Linked DNA regions of Arabidopsis thaliana. The protein of the gene in region 2 interacts with the protein of the main gene of each other region in a pairwise test. Each region holds a gene or a part of one and is shown on either strand. Other genes may lie near its edges. The genes, in order: CR88 and PTAC4.

Region 1 (7,150 bases), on a different chromosome or scaffold from region 2:
CCCAATACAAGCCTATATAATTATCAAAATTAAGTGGTTTTTTATTTACCAATTTGAATTCTCTAGATATCTTACATACGAGGATGTGCTTTTAGTCAAATGGACTTAACCATTTGATTCCGCCTTCTCCACCGGAATTCGATTTCACTAAGTTGCGTTATCCCGCAATCCCGCATAGTAGGGATTGAGTATTGATCGGGTCTTGTCGATACAAAGATGTAAAAAAAAAAATTTTACATAGTCTTTTTTTTCTGTTCTTATTCTTTTTTTTGGGGGTAAATATCTGTTATTGAACATTATAATTCAAACACTTCCAAAACTTTTTTTACCTTGTTCTGATATTGATGCAGCGTATCTTGAAGACAAATGCTCCTCCGGTATTCATCACGTCCGAGGAGATTGTTTATTGCTTTACTTTTGGGTTTAGTTTCATATGGACTTAATTAATGTATATTTGGGCTTTGAATATTTGATATTAGTTTGCTTATTCTTTAGGCTAGGGTTTCCATTCTTTTTCTCTTATTTTAAGAGATGTAATTCATTATTGTAATTAGTTTTTGATTATTGAATAAACGAGTTTTAAGAGAGCTTGTCTAAAGCCTAGAGAGGAGGACTCTCAACCCTAAAAGCTTGTGTTCAAGCCCTGCAAGGAGGATTTGCAAAACCTCATCGATATCGTTATCGATCTCGACCTTATCTCTATTGCTTCTTCATCAAGTTTCGGCGTTCTAAACAAAATCCGTTCGTTAATCCGAGTTCTCATAGAGATTTTGTGTTTTCGTCCGTTATTTAGCTTCCGCTCTCCATCAGATATTACTTTTGTTCAGTAGACCATTCATAAATACCTGCCTTGGATCCAAAAATAGGACAAATAAACATCATTTGCATCATTTTATTATTCTTAAAAGAAATTGCAAATTTTTGACCAAATTGCAAATATTTTGTTTTTAGGTTATACCCAATACCCACATACTGTATTATAGTCGTAATAAAAAAAGGAAAAGTTGCAAAATAAGTAGAGGACAGTGAGAAGTTGGTAACTATATATGTTTTGGTTAATTTAGTTATGGGTATGGAGTCTATAACGTATGGTTTCGATATTTCCAATAATTAGCAATCGTGTATCTTCGTTAGCATCAACATTGTTGTATTTTATTTAGTGCACACCTTCTCATAATTTCTAAATCAATAAAATTTTAATATCATTTTATCTTGGTATATGTCACTATGTATGTGGTTATTTTTATGCTTCCATGTTTTTATTTTTTTTGCCATGGAACCATTAGCTTAGGTTGAAAATCATCGATTGTAAACCTATCATGTTTTCATTTTTATGAAATATTAGGTGATCATCCGCGCTACACCACGGTTTTTTCGGATGTTTTTGTATTGTTTAATTTAAATATAATTTTTATTTATCTTATCATTTACTCATGCAATAAGCAATTACATTTAGTATTAAAATATTTTTTTCTAACCACATTCTCAACAATGCATCATACACATAATTTCTAAACAATGTTTATCTTAAACCAATTTAACAGAGGGTAGTGTTGGATTCTATAAACCTAAGAATTTAATGATGGAGCTCCTTACATATTCTTCACCCTCAGTTATTTATTATATAAATATCAATTTAAGAGAATATAAACATCAATTTAAGAGAATATAAACATCAATTTAAGAGAATAACTTAGTTAAATTATTAAGTAATATACTCATACTTTGAGTTTGGATTACCATAAAAATCTTCGAGTATGAGAAAACTATTAAAATGATTTTATTAAAAAATCATGTGATATTAAAATAAATTTAGTAAAAGTACAATTAAATATGTATAATAAAATAATATGTAAAATTAAATATAAATATATCATTAAACTATAGATTTGAAATTGAAGAGATTACATTAATTATTTAATAAACACATGTCAAATGCTAAAGTGATGATGTGTCTATCATATGAAGAGAGTTGGCCAACTTTCATATATATAATTTACGAAAAAAAAAAAAAAAAACAAATATTCAAGATCTCTTTCTTGATATGGGCCAATTTGATACGAAACATTTTCCAGCCATAACCTTTCGTTTTACTTTATACGGGCTATAGGCCCATTATGGGTTAACGTGTAGGCCCAATAAGGTGTTTTTTCAATTTGGTTTGCATTTGGTGTGTGTGTGTGTGTCAGCTACAATTTCTCAAGGAGAGGCGCGTGTAAATCAAACGGATAATCCTACGGTTTTGATGAAATGGCTTCTCGTAGACCTCACAATCTCTAAACATCTCTTCTCTTTATACGCTCTTCTTCTAGAAACCTCTCTTACCTCACTCTCCTTAAACCTTTAATAGGGTTTTTAGGTTACTCTTTGTTCAACTACTACAAACTCTTTTCTCTTTAGAGATTGAGAGATTGTAAAAAAATCTCAAATCTTTTCCTTCACAACTTTCAAATCTAATGGCTCCTGCTTTGAGTAGAAGTCTCTACACATCTCCTTTGACTTCAGTTCCAATCACTCCTGTCTCTTCTCGTCTCTCTCATCTGAGAAGCTCGTTTCTCCCACACGGCGGCGCTTTAAGAACCGGCGTTTCGTGTAGCTGGAATCTCGAAAAGAGATGTAACCGATTCGCCGTGAAGTGTGACGCCGCCGTGGCGGAGAAAGAGACCACTGAAGAAGGGTCAGGTGAGAAGTTTGAGTACCAAGCTGAGGTGGGTTCTCTTTCATATCTCCTAAAGTTTCAATCTTGTTTTCTGGGTATCTCTCAACTTGATGGGGATATAAAGTTTTAAGATTTGATTGTTGAAATCTTATCACAGGTTAGTAGATTGTTGGATTTGATTGTTCATAGCTTATACAGTCACAAGGAGGTGTTTCTCAGGGAGCTTGTAAGGTGAGTCAATTTTGATGGATTGTTTTGGAAATGATTTGTGTGTTTCTGTCAAAATCTGATTTTGAATGTGTCTGTGTATGTTCAGTAATGCAAGTGATGCTTTGGATAAGCTGAGGTTCTTGAGTGTAACAGAGCCTTCTTTGCTTGGAGATGGTGGAGATCTTGAGATTAGGATTAAGCCTGATCCTGATAACGGCACCATCACCATAACGTATGAGAGACTTCTCATTTTTTGTTTTACTTAAGTATTGAAAATTGAATAGAACAGGTTTACTTAGAGAGGTTTGATGCGTATATGCAGTGATACTGGTATTGGAATGACAAAGGAAGAACTTATTGATTGCCTTGGAACTATTGCTCAAAGTGGTACTTCGAAATTCTTGAAGGCTCTAAAGGTTTTTTTTCCATCTCTTTGAAAACCTGTTGCTAGCAAATCTTTGATGTCATGTTTTCGGACTCATTGTTTTATTGCTCTCTTTATTCAGGAAAACAAGGACCTTGGTGCTGACAACGGTTTGATCGGACAGTTTGGTGTTGGGTTTTACTCTGCTTTCTTAGTTGCTGAGAAGGTGAAGACTTTCAACTTTTGTTTTTTAGTGTCTTCTGGTTAATGTATTTCTTACGAGGAATGGACGTACAATTGTCTTTGCTTTCAGGTTGTTGTGTCCACCAAAAGCCCCAAATCTGACAAGCAATATGTTTGGGAATCGGTTGCCGATAGTAGCTCGTATCTGATCAGAGAAGAAACAGACCCTGATAACATTCTACGTCGTGGAACACAAATCACCTTGTATCTGAGGGTACTTTTCTTTATTCATTCATCCTTTCATTTGATGCGTCAGATCTCTTATAGTTTGTTTGACTGCTTATTCCTGGCTGCAGGAGGATGATAAATACGAATTTGCGGAGTCTACAAGGATCAAGAACCTCGTGAAGAATTACTCTCAGTTCGTTGGGTTTCCTATCTATACATGGCAGGAGAAATCAAGGACTATAGAGGTGAGGATGAAAGTTTTGTTTTTGTAATCATATTAGTGTATTCACATTGCTAATATGGTTTAAAATTTGTAACTTGTGGTAGGTCGAAGAGGACGAACCAGTTAAGGAAGGAGAAGAGGTAAAAAAATTATGTTGTTTTAATTGTGTGTATCAACTATCAAACAGTCACAACCAAAAGACTGTTCTAGAATTTTGTTTACTGAGTTGATTTTGTTACTTGTTTGTTTCCAGGGTGAGCCAAAGAAAAAGAAGACCACTAAAACTGAGAAGTATTGGGATTGGGAACTAGCCAACGAGACCAAACCGCTATGGGTAAGCCTTGGAGCTTTAGCCTGCGTTTTGTACTTTTCTTTCAACATGTTTACTGATTATTTTGTGTCTTTGAATAGATGCGCAATTCGAAGGAAGTGGAAAAAGGAGAGTACAATGAGTTCTACAAAAAGGCTTTCAATGAGTTCTTGGATCCACTTGCTCACACACACTTCACAACTGAGGTCTTTATACTTATACACTATACACTATATTTATGTCAATTTATGAATTCTTCAATTGGTGCTTACTAGTCTCTGTATTGTCTTGATTATTAAAGGGTGAGGTTGAGTTCAGGAGCATTTTGTACATCCCTGGGATGGGTCCTCTTAACAATGAAGATGTTACAAACCCGAAAACAAAGAACATTCGTCTCTACGTGAAGCGTGTGTTTATCTCTGACGATTTTGATGGAGAGCTTGTGAGTCTTTTATGGGTTCTTTCTTATGTAGAAATCTCTTTAGATTTGTGGTTCAATTTTTATCTGACTATGTTACCTAATCTGTTTGCAGTTCCCGAGATATCTGAGCTTTGTGAAGGGAGTTGTGGACTCTGATGATCTTCCTCTTAATGTTTCTCGTGAAATTCTCCAAGAAAGCAGAATTGTGAGTGGTGCAACTGTTAGTGATACAAATGTTTATCATATATGAATATCACAAATTGTAACTGTACTATCTTTCGTGATAATGTTCAGGTAAGAATCATGAGAAAGAGGCTCATTAGAAAAACCTTTGACATGATACAAGAAATCTCTGAGAGTGAAAACAAAGAGGTAGGTATCTCATTATCCTAATTTTGTTTTGAGCTCATTTGAAAGCCAGGGATATTCATGTTGTACAAACAATTCTAGGATTACAAGAAATTCTGGGAGAACTTTGGTAGATTCCTTAAATTGGGTTGTATTGAAGACACCGGTAACCACAAGCGTATCACACCGCTACTTAGATTCTTCAGTTCCAAGAATGAAGAGGAATTGACAAGCTTGGATGATTATATCGAGAACATGGGAGAGAACCAAAAGGCGATCTACTACCTCGCAACTGATAGTCTTAAAAGTGCCAAGTCTGCCCCTTTCTTGGAGAAACTAATCCAAAAAGATATCGAGGTATATGCTTCAAGACTTGTTTTTCAACTTCGAGTTTCTGTTTAGATTTGACTTTCTCACCACTTGCTTTTGTTAATTATAGGTTCTATATTTGGTTGAACCAATCGATGAAGTTGCTATTCAGAATTTGCAAACCTACAAAGAAAAGAAATTCGTTGATATCAGTAAAGAAGATTTGGAACTCGGTAAGTATGGTTTAGCACTGCTGACTGCCCGCACATTTCTCTCAACCATTTGTTTGTAACAAAACGTGTCCATTCTCGCAGGAGATGAAGATGAAGTAAAGGACAGGGAAGCGAAACAAGAGTTTAACCTTCTCTGTGACTGGATAAAACAGCAGCTCGGTGACAAAGTTGCAAAAGTCCAAGTCTCAAACCGTTTGAGCTCTTCTCCTTGTGTGCTTGTCTCTGGCAAATTCGGGTGGTCAGCTAATATGGAAAGGTTAGTACTTCAGCAAAAGCTTTATAACCTGAAATCCACATACCATAAAACTTATGTGCTTGTTCATTGACTTATGTGCTTATTCATTGTGAAAGGCTAATGAAGGCACAGGCTCTTGGAGACACTTCAAGCCTGGAGTTCATGAGAGGTAGGAGAATACTAGAGATCAATCCAGATCATCCCATCATCAAAGACTTGAACGTAAGTGTGTGGTATAATATTCTCTCAGAAATCTCTTGTCTCGAAAAAGCCTTATTAATTTTTGTATTCTTTTGGTACAGGCTGCTTGTAAGAATGCACCAGAGAGCACTGAAGCAACAAGAGTGGTCGATCTCTTGTATGACACTGCTATAATATCAAGTGGATTCACTGTAAGAAATCTGAAACCTTTCTTGTTTCCCAGTAAAAGTCTTGGACCATTTTACTCACTTATATGTGTTTGTTGTACAGCCTGATAGCCCGGCCGAGCTCGGGAACAAGATATATGAGATGATGGCAATGGCGGTTGGAGGAAGATGGGGCAGAGTTGAAGAAGAAGAAGAAAGCTCGACTGTGAATGAAGGAGATGACAAAAGCGGAGAAACAGAGGTAGTTGAACCATCTGAAGTGAGGGCAGAGAGTGATCCTTGGCAAGATTGATCCTTTTTTACCTTCTTTTGTTTGCAGTGATTTTTTTTTGACAGAACGCTTTATCTTTCCATTAGCAGTATCATGGGCCTAATGAAAGCCCATAATTAAATCACGCGTGAACGAGATTTATCCAATACAGTATTTGTAGTTTTTTTTTGATAATTAAAATAATTTTAGAGAATTTACACAAAAAAAGCTTTTAACAAAAATATTTACGAATATTTGAAAAATATTTGCATTTGAGTTGTATTAAATATTCTGAATTTACATCCTCTTATTATTAAAAAGAAAATACAAATTGAAAAATAGTCTAATCTGCCATCAATTTTCAATTTTGGATTTTGTACATTATTAATCAAAATCGTCTATGGTAATTTGGTCATCACTCTATATTCCTTAAATACACTATATTTCAAATTTAAATAATATTTCTTAAACACACTATATTCAATACTTATCACCTATTTATTGTTTTTTCAAAGATTTAAAAAAACTAAATATAAAAAATCAATCTAAAATAAACCAAAAATATAGTTATTAATTTTACATATTTTTTATTAAAAATATTATGTTGGCAAACAATATTAAGAGCTCGCGAATTAATTAGTGGAGCGGATTAGAATTTACAATAATTCATAATTATGCATATGGAATAAATTATATTTAAAAATCAATATTCGATATATCAAAATATGGTACAATCACACATTTTCCGGATATTATTTAAACTAATAATCTTAACGGTCCATTAAAACTTTCCAAATCAAAATGATTTC
Region 2 (7,321 bases):
ACTAGATTTGAATAGTTTCGAAAAAACATTACTTTTTAGTTGTTAACACCAATCATACACTTCATCGCCTAGAGAAGAGCTTCCACTTCCGAATGTAGTGGAGATATGCGTGTAAGGGTGTTGGCAGCTCTCATGGTTGGTGTAACTCCATCTGATGACGTATTGAACCACCATATTCCTGAGAATTTATCACTATCTTTCCAAGACCCGTCCAAAAAAGGGTGATATCCTAAATAAGAATCATTTTGTGAAATATCTCTCACTCGAGTTCGAGTTTCCGAATTTAAAAAACAACTAGTTTCCAAACTAAACTCAATATGGCCTACTTGCCACAATTGTGCCTCTTTTTCGTTAAGAGTAATATCTCTAAGGGATCTTTATCCACATTATCCTGAGACACCCAGTTCATATGATTTGAAAGCATGCTTTTGGTAACATTACTGTTAGCGGAAAAAGAGGATTGCTCCACATCATATAAACAGATATATATTTGCTTGAAAGTTGAAACAGGACTAGCAGTATCAAGGAGTTCTTGCAGAATTGTGTTTGTGGCTAAACCAACTTTTGGTAACATTTCAAACCCTCATTATTAAGCTCTTTAAGTATCCAATGAGGAGGGTACAGTTGATTAGACATAGACATACCTTGTAGTTTCTGAAGACGATTGGCTAGGAATCTAGGAAAATATGGCAACATGTTTTACTGGAAAGACAAGTCAACATGGAAGACGAGCATTTCTATCTTAAATCGACGAATCTCTTTCTTTTATGCCTTAGAGGCTGATAGAGGGTTATGCGAGTAAAACAGCTTATAAAAAAACGTGTCCACTTGACACAAAGTGAGTCAAAATGGAAACCACACTTTCAAAAGTGTCTGAATGTACATAACCCAACTATAAATGGGGATTAGATAGCTGGATATTTACTTTAAGAGTACACATGCTTTTTGTGTCTTTCTACAAGACACAAGATAGTTTACAGCAGGAACGTAATGTAACCCAGTCACAATTCGGAAACAGCCGATATCTAAAAGTCGTTAGCTTTCCTTCGCAGTTCGTTTAACTCATTCTCGATCTCTGAGTCTTTGAAAGGGTATCTCGTGCTTGCTGCAACAGTGCTTCTCCCTGGAGGAAGCTCTCCTTTCTGCTCCATATCATATAAACAGAGGATAACTATAAGATGTATGTTTCACAGACTCTTAACTCAGTGAAGTAAAATGTTAGTAGCAAAGTAGGCTATCGTCAAACATGAAACAAGACAGTAAGGTAAACATAGAAGTAATTTGAGTAGTTTGAATTGTTGATTTTAGTGAACCATCCCAAATTGCTGAACCCATTAGTCTCTTCGGACGGTAATTTGCAATATGGACATATGGTAGCTTGTGGATACAATATTTTCGCGAATGATGAGATTATAAACTCTACGGAACTAACAAGATGATTGACGTTTTACAAACCTTTGAGCTTCCAGACAATTCTTTCTTCAAGTCTGCAAGATCATCATCCACAGATGAAGTTTCAAGCATTTGAAACTGCAAGTCACAAAGAAATACACGTTAATGTCAAGATGGTTGCAGATATACAAGTTCTTCTCCTACCAACAAACAAACAGTAAACCAGATTAGACCATCCTATCAGTCGTAGAAGATATTAGATAAAGCAGCGAACCCTAATCAATGCAAGATTTTACCTCTGAAACAAATTTAAAAGAGAAAGAAAGATTCTTCTCCTCATAGAAATACCAAGACAAGAGATAGACAACCAACCTTCCCCTCGAGTTCATCGGTTCCAATCTGAGTTAGTGCATCTGCTTCAGACTCCATAGCCATAACTGTCAAGCACTTTCTAGATTTTAGTCTCTATCAGACTGAGCATTCATCAACAAGCAGAATGTGAAGTCTTTCACAACGAAAAATTACACGTTCGGAATTCTGATACTAGCAACTCAGAGATTTACAGAAAGAATAAGAGGGTATATCTGCACGGACTAACATTGATCAACCAGAACCTAAACGAATTGCTAGAAATAGCAATAAGAAAAAAGGTTATCCAGTGGCATTTCTCTCTTGTATCTAAACAAGCAAGGATTCCGCTAAGTTTATCCTTTACTCCGATGTCCCATTGCACACATTATATTACTGTTCTATTGTTTTGCATGAGGTAACTACAACACTAATTCCACATCCACGTTGCCCAGAATCTGAGCACTATTTCTAATGTAACCCTGTCGCCTAGGTGGCAAGTAGTACAAGCTAACATAGAGAAAGTAGTGGAATCTAAACTCACTTTCAAAGACTGAATGCTAATCCTAACTACAGGCCAAACTTCAAATTTAGAAAGGAATAATAGGACTAACTGGTATTGGTTGCGTATAGACAAGTTGGAGGATCAAGAGATCATACCTTTCTCCTCCATTTTCTCAAAAGCTGAAAGAGCACCGCTTGTATTTACTGTCCCTATCATCTCTTGCACTTTGGTTGCAGTCCTAGCAGGAATTAAAAAAAACAAATAGAGTTGGGACAATATATAAATCGACAAGAAACACTCTGTATGGACGAGCTTCCATAAATGATATAAAGAAGAGTATTAGGGAAATGATACAAACTTAGCAGTGCGAGCACGTGCAAGGAGCGTATCTTTCTTTGCTTTTGCCTCTTGTATCTTACTCTCCAAGAGCTGCAAATAAAAGGGGAAACAACAAAAAAATTACAGAACTCATTTTCTAAGAACCAAACTTCGCCCTAAGCAATTTCAGAAAATATAAGAATCATATGCTATGGAAATGGAAGAACTCTGAAAATACAGATACTAATCTAAAATATCTTCTACATTATGTCCATAGAGATACAATAGCTCCTTAGTACAAAACGTGAAGAGAGATACTTGGCATATGAATCTTATGACGGAGGTATTTAACTATGGTACTATCTCTAAACCATTCAAATTGTATGGTGGCATGACGAAAATTAATGTATACATGATTCTTTGTTTTATTGAGTAAATGCATGACGATAAATTCATTTAATCATAGCTCTAAAGATTCCAACAGTGTATAGTAAATCAAAATACAAAATATATAGATAAATATGGTGAAAACTAACCCTTGTATTTGAAACAAGATTGTCGACAACACCTTTTTGCTGATCTAGTTGAGTTTTCAAAGCAGTAGCGTTGTCCTGTTAAGAAAAAAGGTAATAACTTCAAAACCTAAAGTTCTAGTTTTTTTTTAAGGTAACTTTATAAAGTTAGAGAATGGATGTATTCAAGAGACTTCAGTAGTCGATAAGGTATCAGCAGGTAAAAGATAGTGAAAATTTACCTGCCTATTATTCGTTAGCCATTTGCAAAGGTTACACAAATACATAAATCAACAAAACTGAAAAAGAGCCATACGGTCTGTTGCTCAAACAAAAGCACATCAAAGATGATAGCCAAGATACTGATATGTAAAAAACACTGAAGAATCGTGTTTGGCTGTTTCCGAAATTCTACATAGAACCAAAATTTGATTTTGATTTTTTTTTCTGATACTGAAAGACAATAGTCAACATCCTAATATGTAGAAACACAGAAGGGTCGTTTTTGGCTGCATCTGTAGTGTTATATATATCCAAAATATCTTTTGTCACTGCAATCACCTTAACAAACTCAACAAACAATATATTTCAAAAGAGTACTATAAACACTGCCAAGCTCTATTGCATCAAAAAATGATTGGAAAAGGGGGCAAGTCCTGAGGAGAATTACAGAATACTTAGATATCTAAATTTTTCCATTTTACTTTCACCACCACCTAACTAAACCTTGCAGAAAACCAAGAGATCAGCCTCAAATCGCTCGATGCGCTAAACGATTAGGGTCTTTCATTTGTTGGAGTAAGCAAACTTAAGAAACAGAAAACTGGTGGACAAAAGAATGGATAGATATAACCTACAGCAAAAGACTTTCGTCGTTTAAGGGCCTCACGTGCAAGATCCTCATCTCCTTTTGCAAGAGCAAGTTGTGCTCTTTTGTACCTATTTAAACGTGTAACATGTAAGAATAATCAGCTCAGAGAAGAATTTAGGTATGGAAGCAAGGTCCACGCAAAAGCACACATACCAATCATCAGAAGACTGCTGTGCAGCTTTATATTTGTTCTGTAACTGCTTTTGTGATGCTAAAACCTTCAGACACGTTGATAATACACAAGTTAGCTAATCTCATAAATAGGGGCCAACCATGCTGTAGTAAAAAAATGAAGAAGAAAAATATCGTACAGGAAAATGTATAAAGTTTGTTCAAGAGTAAGAAGTGCACCTGTGCAGTGGCTTGACGCATCTTTGTCAAATCACTATTCATTTCAATGACAGTTTGCTCCAGGATTTTCTCCGGGTCTTCAAAAGAGCTTATGAGCGCATTTGCATATGACTTCGCTTATTAAAATGAAAAATAAACAAGAGAACTGATTAATGAACTCCAATGCATAATGACAGTCAAATACAGAATGAGAAAGGGTATAAGTACCTTGACCACTCTAGAAAATCGTTCAAAAAGATTCATAGTAGCACCATGACCATTGCACCTGAGTCTATTATCACAAGCTAATCTCAACACATTCACTCTCAGCGCTCCACCTTGTAAAAATAAACAATAATCTTTATTGAGTCTAACAATAAGTTCATGGAAACATCAAACCAACAACATAACTAAAAAGCAAGAGAACTAAATGTTAGACATGTGAAACAGTCAAAGCATACTGAAGTTATAGACACTGACTAAGAGTAACCTCATTTATACTAAATCAAGAAACACAAAATCGACAAATCATACACTAAAAAGCACAATCAATACCCAATTTTACTTCAATTCTCTCTCTGACTAATCACGTTACCCAATTTGAGCAAATAGCTGCACTATTTTCCTCCAAGCAATCCAAACAAGGCGCAAGCTAGTGAAATGAAGATAAAGCCAAACCCTAAAGCGAAGTAGAGAAGAAGGAGACGCACTTGAGTTACCGAAGAAAGATGTTCTGAGAGGGAGAATCCTGAGGGAACAAGGGCGATTAGAAGAAGTCGAAGGGGAAGAAGAAGCAGTAGGACGGAGAGGAGGGAATAATCCGGTAACAGGTGAAGCTTTGAGAGCCATTTCAATGGCGATTTCGACTCTTCTCCTTCTCTCGTCTTCTTTTGGCTTATTGGAGGATGTTTGTGGTCTCGGAGGCTACTCGGATGTTGTTCCCATTTTTCTTTCTCTATCCTACGTCGTTTTGGTCGATGAATAACATTGATTTTTTCATAAAACATATTTTATTGGAATTGAAAACGGAAATTACTCAAAGCTGAAGATCAGAACTCTTGAAAAGACAAAGCTGACAATGAAGATCATAATTCACTGATATTCTTTGATTCTTAATATGCAAGATACAGCTCCAAGAGAAGTTTACCGTCATGAATGTTTCACTTTAGTATAGATGTGAATGTCCAAATCCACCAAACAATCATGGAGTTCACAGTTCAATATTGATTGCATTGTTCATATGTAGTTGCTGGAATTTGCAAACTTACGTCAATGAACCATGTTTCCCAACTCACAATGTAAACTTTAGAATTGTTATTGACTTGGGAGACTTTCCCTTATAATACACGAGTAGATATCTCTTGAATTAACAAACACAGACGCATCCATCAAAATCCAAACACACATACACAGACTCTAAGGGACAATATAATGAATCAAAAGTAACGTAGCACTATTTATAAATACAACAACAAAAATGAAACTTGATAATGTTTTAATACAAACAAGAATCGAAGTTATTTTCAGCACATTGTTCGATTTTTTTCCTGAAAAAACGAAACCAGCTCAACATAACCCATTGAAACATTTCATGAAATACCTGGCAGGCAATACTTGGTAGCAGTGTCTAATTTGAGAGGACCACTGTGGAAGAAATGTCTTGGGCAGAGTCGAGTTGGGTTTGACCTGAAGAAAGAGAAGAAGAGTCGTTAAAAAGAGATCTTTGAATCTTGTTTAGTTCTTTGGCCACTTCCACCATCGTTGGAACTTCTTCACTAGGGCCGGTGCATCTCAGTGATAGCTTCAAGAAAGCTTTCATTTGACAACGCTCTTGTTCTGAAATTTGACCCATCTTTTCTATCATCTTTGAATCTGCAATCTCTTCCATTGGTCTGTCTTCCTTTAATGTTGAGAGCAAATTCCGAGCATGTCTTTTCATCAGACTGTCAAATCCATCTTCACTTTCTTCTTCTTCTCCTCGATAATGCTCGAAATAGTATTCGTATCCTAATAGAAGCCTATGACCCATAAAGATTCCAAAGGCAAAGACATCTGTTTTATCTGAGACTAGGCCACTCCTAACGTAATTATCAGCAAAGTAACTATATAATCCCACGTCTCTGTCAACCCGGACAAATGTTTCTCCTTCTGGGATTGAGACGCAGTGAGAGAAATCAGTCAGCTTGGCGACACCATCTTCATCCAATAAGATATTCCAATGAGACAAAATCCTATATACAAAGGGCCTAGGGAAGGCGGTGTGAAGGTAAGCTAAAGCAGTAGCGATATCTTCTGCTATCTTCATTCTCTTTTTCCATGGCTGTTCACTTATTTCTAATTTGTAATGTTTCTTAACACTATGATACACCATGACTGGATAATCTAACTCAAGACAACATCCAACCAACTTCATGAAGTTTTTGTGACCACTCACCATCGATGAAACTGCTATGTCGCGGCACAAACGATCTACTCTCAAGCCACTCCACCAGCCAACATCTTTCTTGATTAGTATCATGGGATGATTCTCGTTCTTACCAGAATACCATTTGAAGGGAACTTCTAATCGTAAAACAAAATTAGAGTCGCTGAAATCGTTGGTGGCTTTGAGGATCTCATCAGCAGAGAAGAATTTGATGGGATTGGATTTGCCATCGCAACATTCGATGAGCTCTTCTAACAACTTGGCCCCTCTCTCGGACGCTATATCGGATTTTGGCTTCTTCTTCTTCCTCAGCCAACCCATCTCAAAATCTAAGAATTAAGGGAAAGAAAGCTTTATTTGAAATCAAAATGAGCAAAGGATTCGAGACCTCACACAATGAGTTGCAAACGAGTACAATGTACTCAATTCTTGTTGAATTTTCAACATTACGTTCTTCAACGAAAATCAGAAAATAGGAATTTATTAGAGTTGCAAGGACTTTTAGGAAATTTGGGTCTGCTGATGTCATCATATTTTAAAATTTTAACGTTTGTTACTTGTTTAGTGAATGGTCATCAAAAATTCACACCTATCGGCTGGGACTAGATCATCCGTTGCTA

What was found.
Region 1: the proteins of PTAC4 (region 2) and CR88 interact in a protein complementation assay, tested with the Arabidopsis thaliana proteins (one study listed by BioGRID).

The regions. Positions count from the first base shown.
Region 1 is NC_003071.7:1,279,527-1,286,676, forward strand, and holds CR88 (Chaperone protein htpG family protein), read left to right. Parts: upstream 1-2,227; 5' UTR 2,228-2,456; coding exon 2,457-2,708; intron 2,709-2,816; coding exon 2,817-2,890; intron 2,891-2,975; coding exon 2,976-3,101; intron 3,102-3,191; coding exon 3,192-3,285; intron 3,286-3,375; coding exon 3,376-3,459; intron 3,460-3,546; coding exon 3,547-3,690; intron 3,691-3,772; coding exon 3,773-3,889; intron 3,890-3,971; coding exon 3,972-4,007; intron 4,008-4,120; coding exon 4,121-4,201; intron 4,202-4,278; coding exon 4,279-4,383; intron 4,384-4,478; coding exon 4,479-4,619; intron 4,620-4,710; coding exon 4,711-4,803; intron 4,804-4,892; coding exon 4,893-4,970; intron 4,971-5,048; coding exon 5,049-5,303; intron 5,304-5,385; coding exon 5,386-5,488; intron 5,489-5,569; coding exon 5,570-5,744; intron 5,745-5,839; coding exon 5,840-5,945; intron 5,946-6,025; coding exon 6,026-6,115; intron 6,116-6,194; coding exon 6,195-6,383; 3' UTR 6,384-6,618; and 1 more. UniProt on the Arabidopsis thaliana protein: Molecular chaperone required for chloroplast biogenesis. Essential for chloroplast biogenesis and maintenance, and thus for embryogenesis. May be involved in the disassembly of VIPP1 for thylakoid membrane formation and/or maintenance.
Region 2 is NC_003070.9:24,234,133-24,241,453, reverse strand, and holds PTAC4 (plastid transcriptionally active 4), read right to left. Parts: upstream 5,367-7,321; 5' UTR 5,126-5,366; coding exon 4,987-5,125; exon of another isoform or gene 4,832-4,986; intron 4,615-4,831; coding exon 4,505-4,614; intron 4,409-4,504; coding exon 4,298-4,408; intron 4,165-4,297; coding exon 4,100-4,164; intron 4,015-4,099; coding exon 3,933-4,014; intron 3,175-3,932; coding exon 3,100-3,174; intron 2,675-3,099; coding exon 2,604-2,674; intron 2,484-2,603; coding exon 2,401-2,483; intron 1,830-2,400; coding exon 1,765-1,829; intron 1,531-1,764; coding exon 1,456-1,530; intron 1,143-1,455; coding exon 1,026-1,142; 3' UTR 726-1,025; downstream 1-725. Other genes in the region: AT1G65250 (Protein kinase superfamily protein), read right to left, coding at 5,904-7,022. UniProt on the Arabidopsis thaliana protein: Required for plastid vesicle formation and thylakoid membrane biogenesis, but not for functional assembly of thylakoid protein complexes.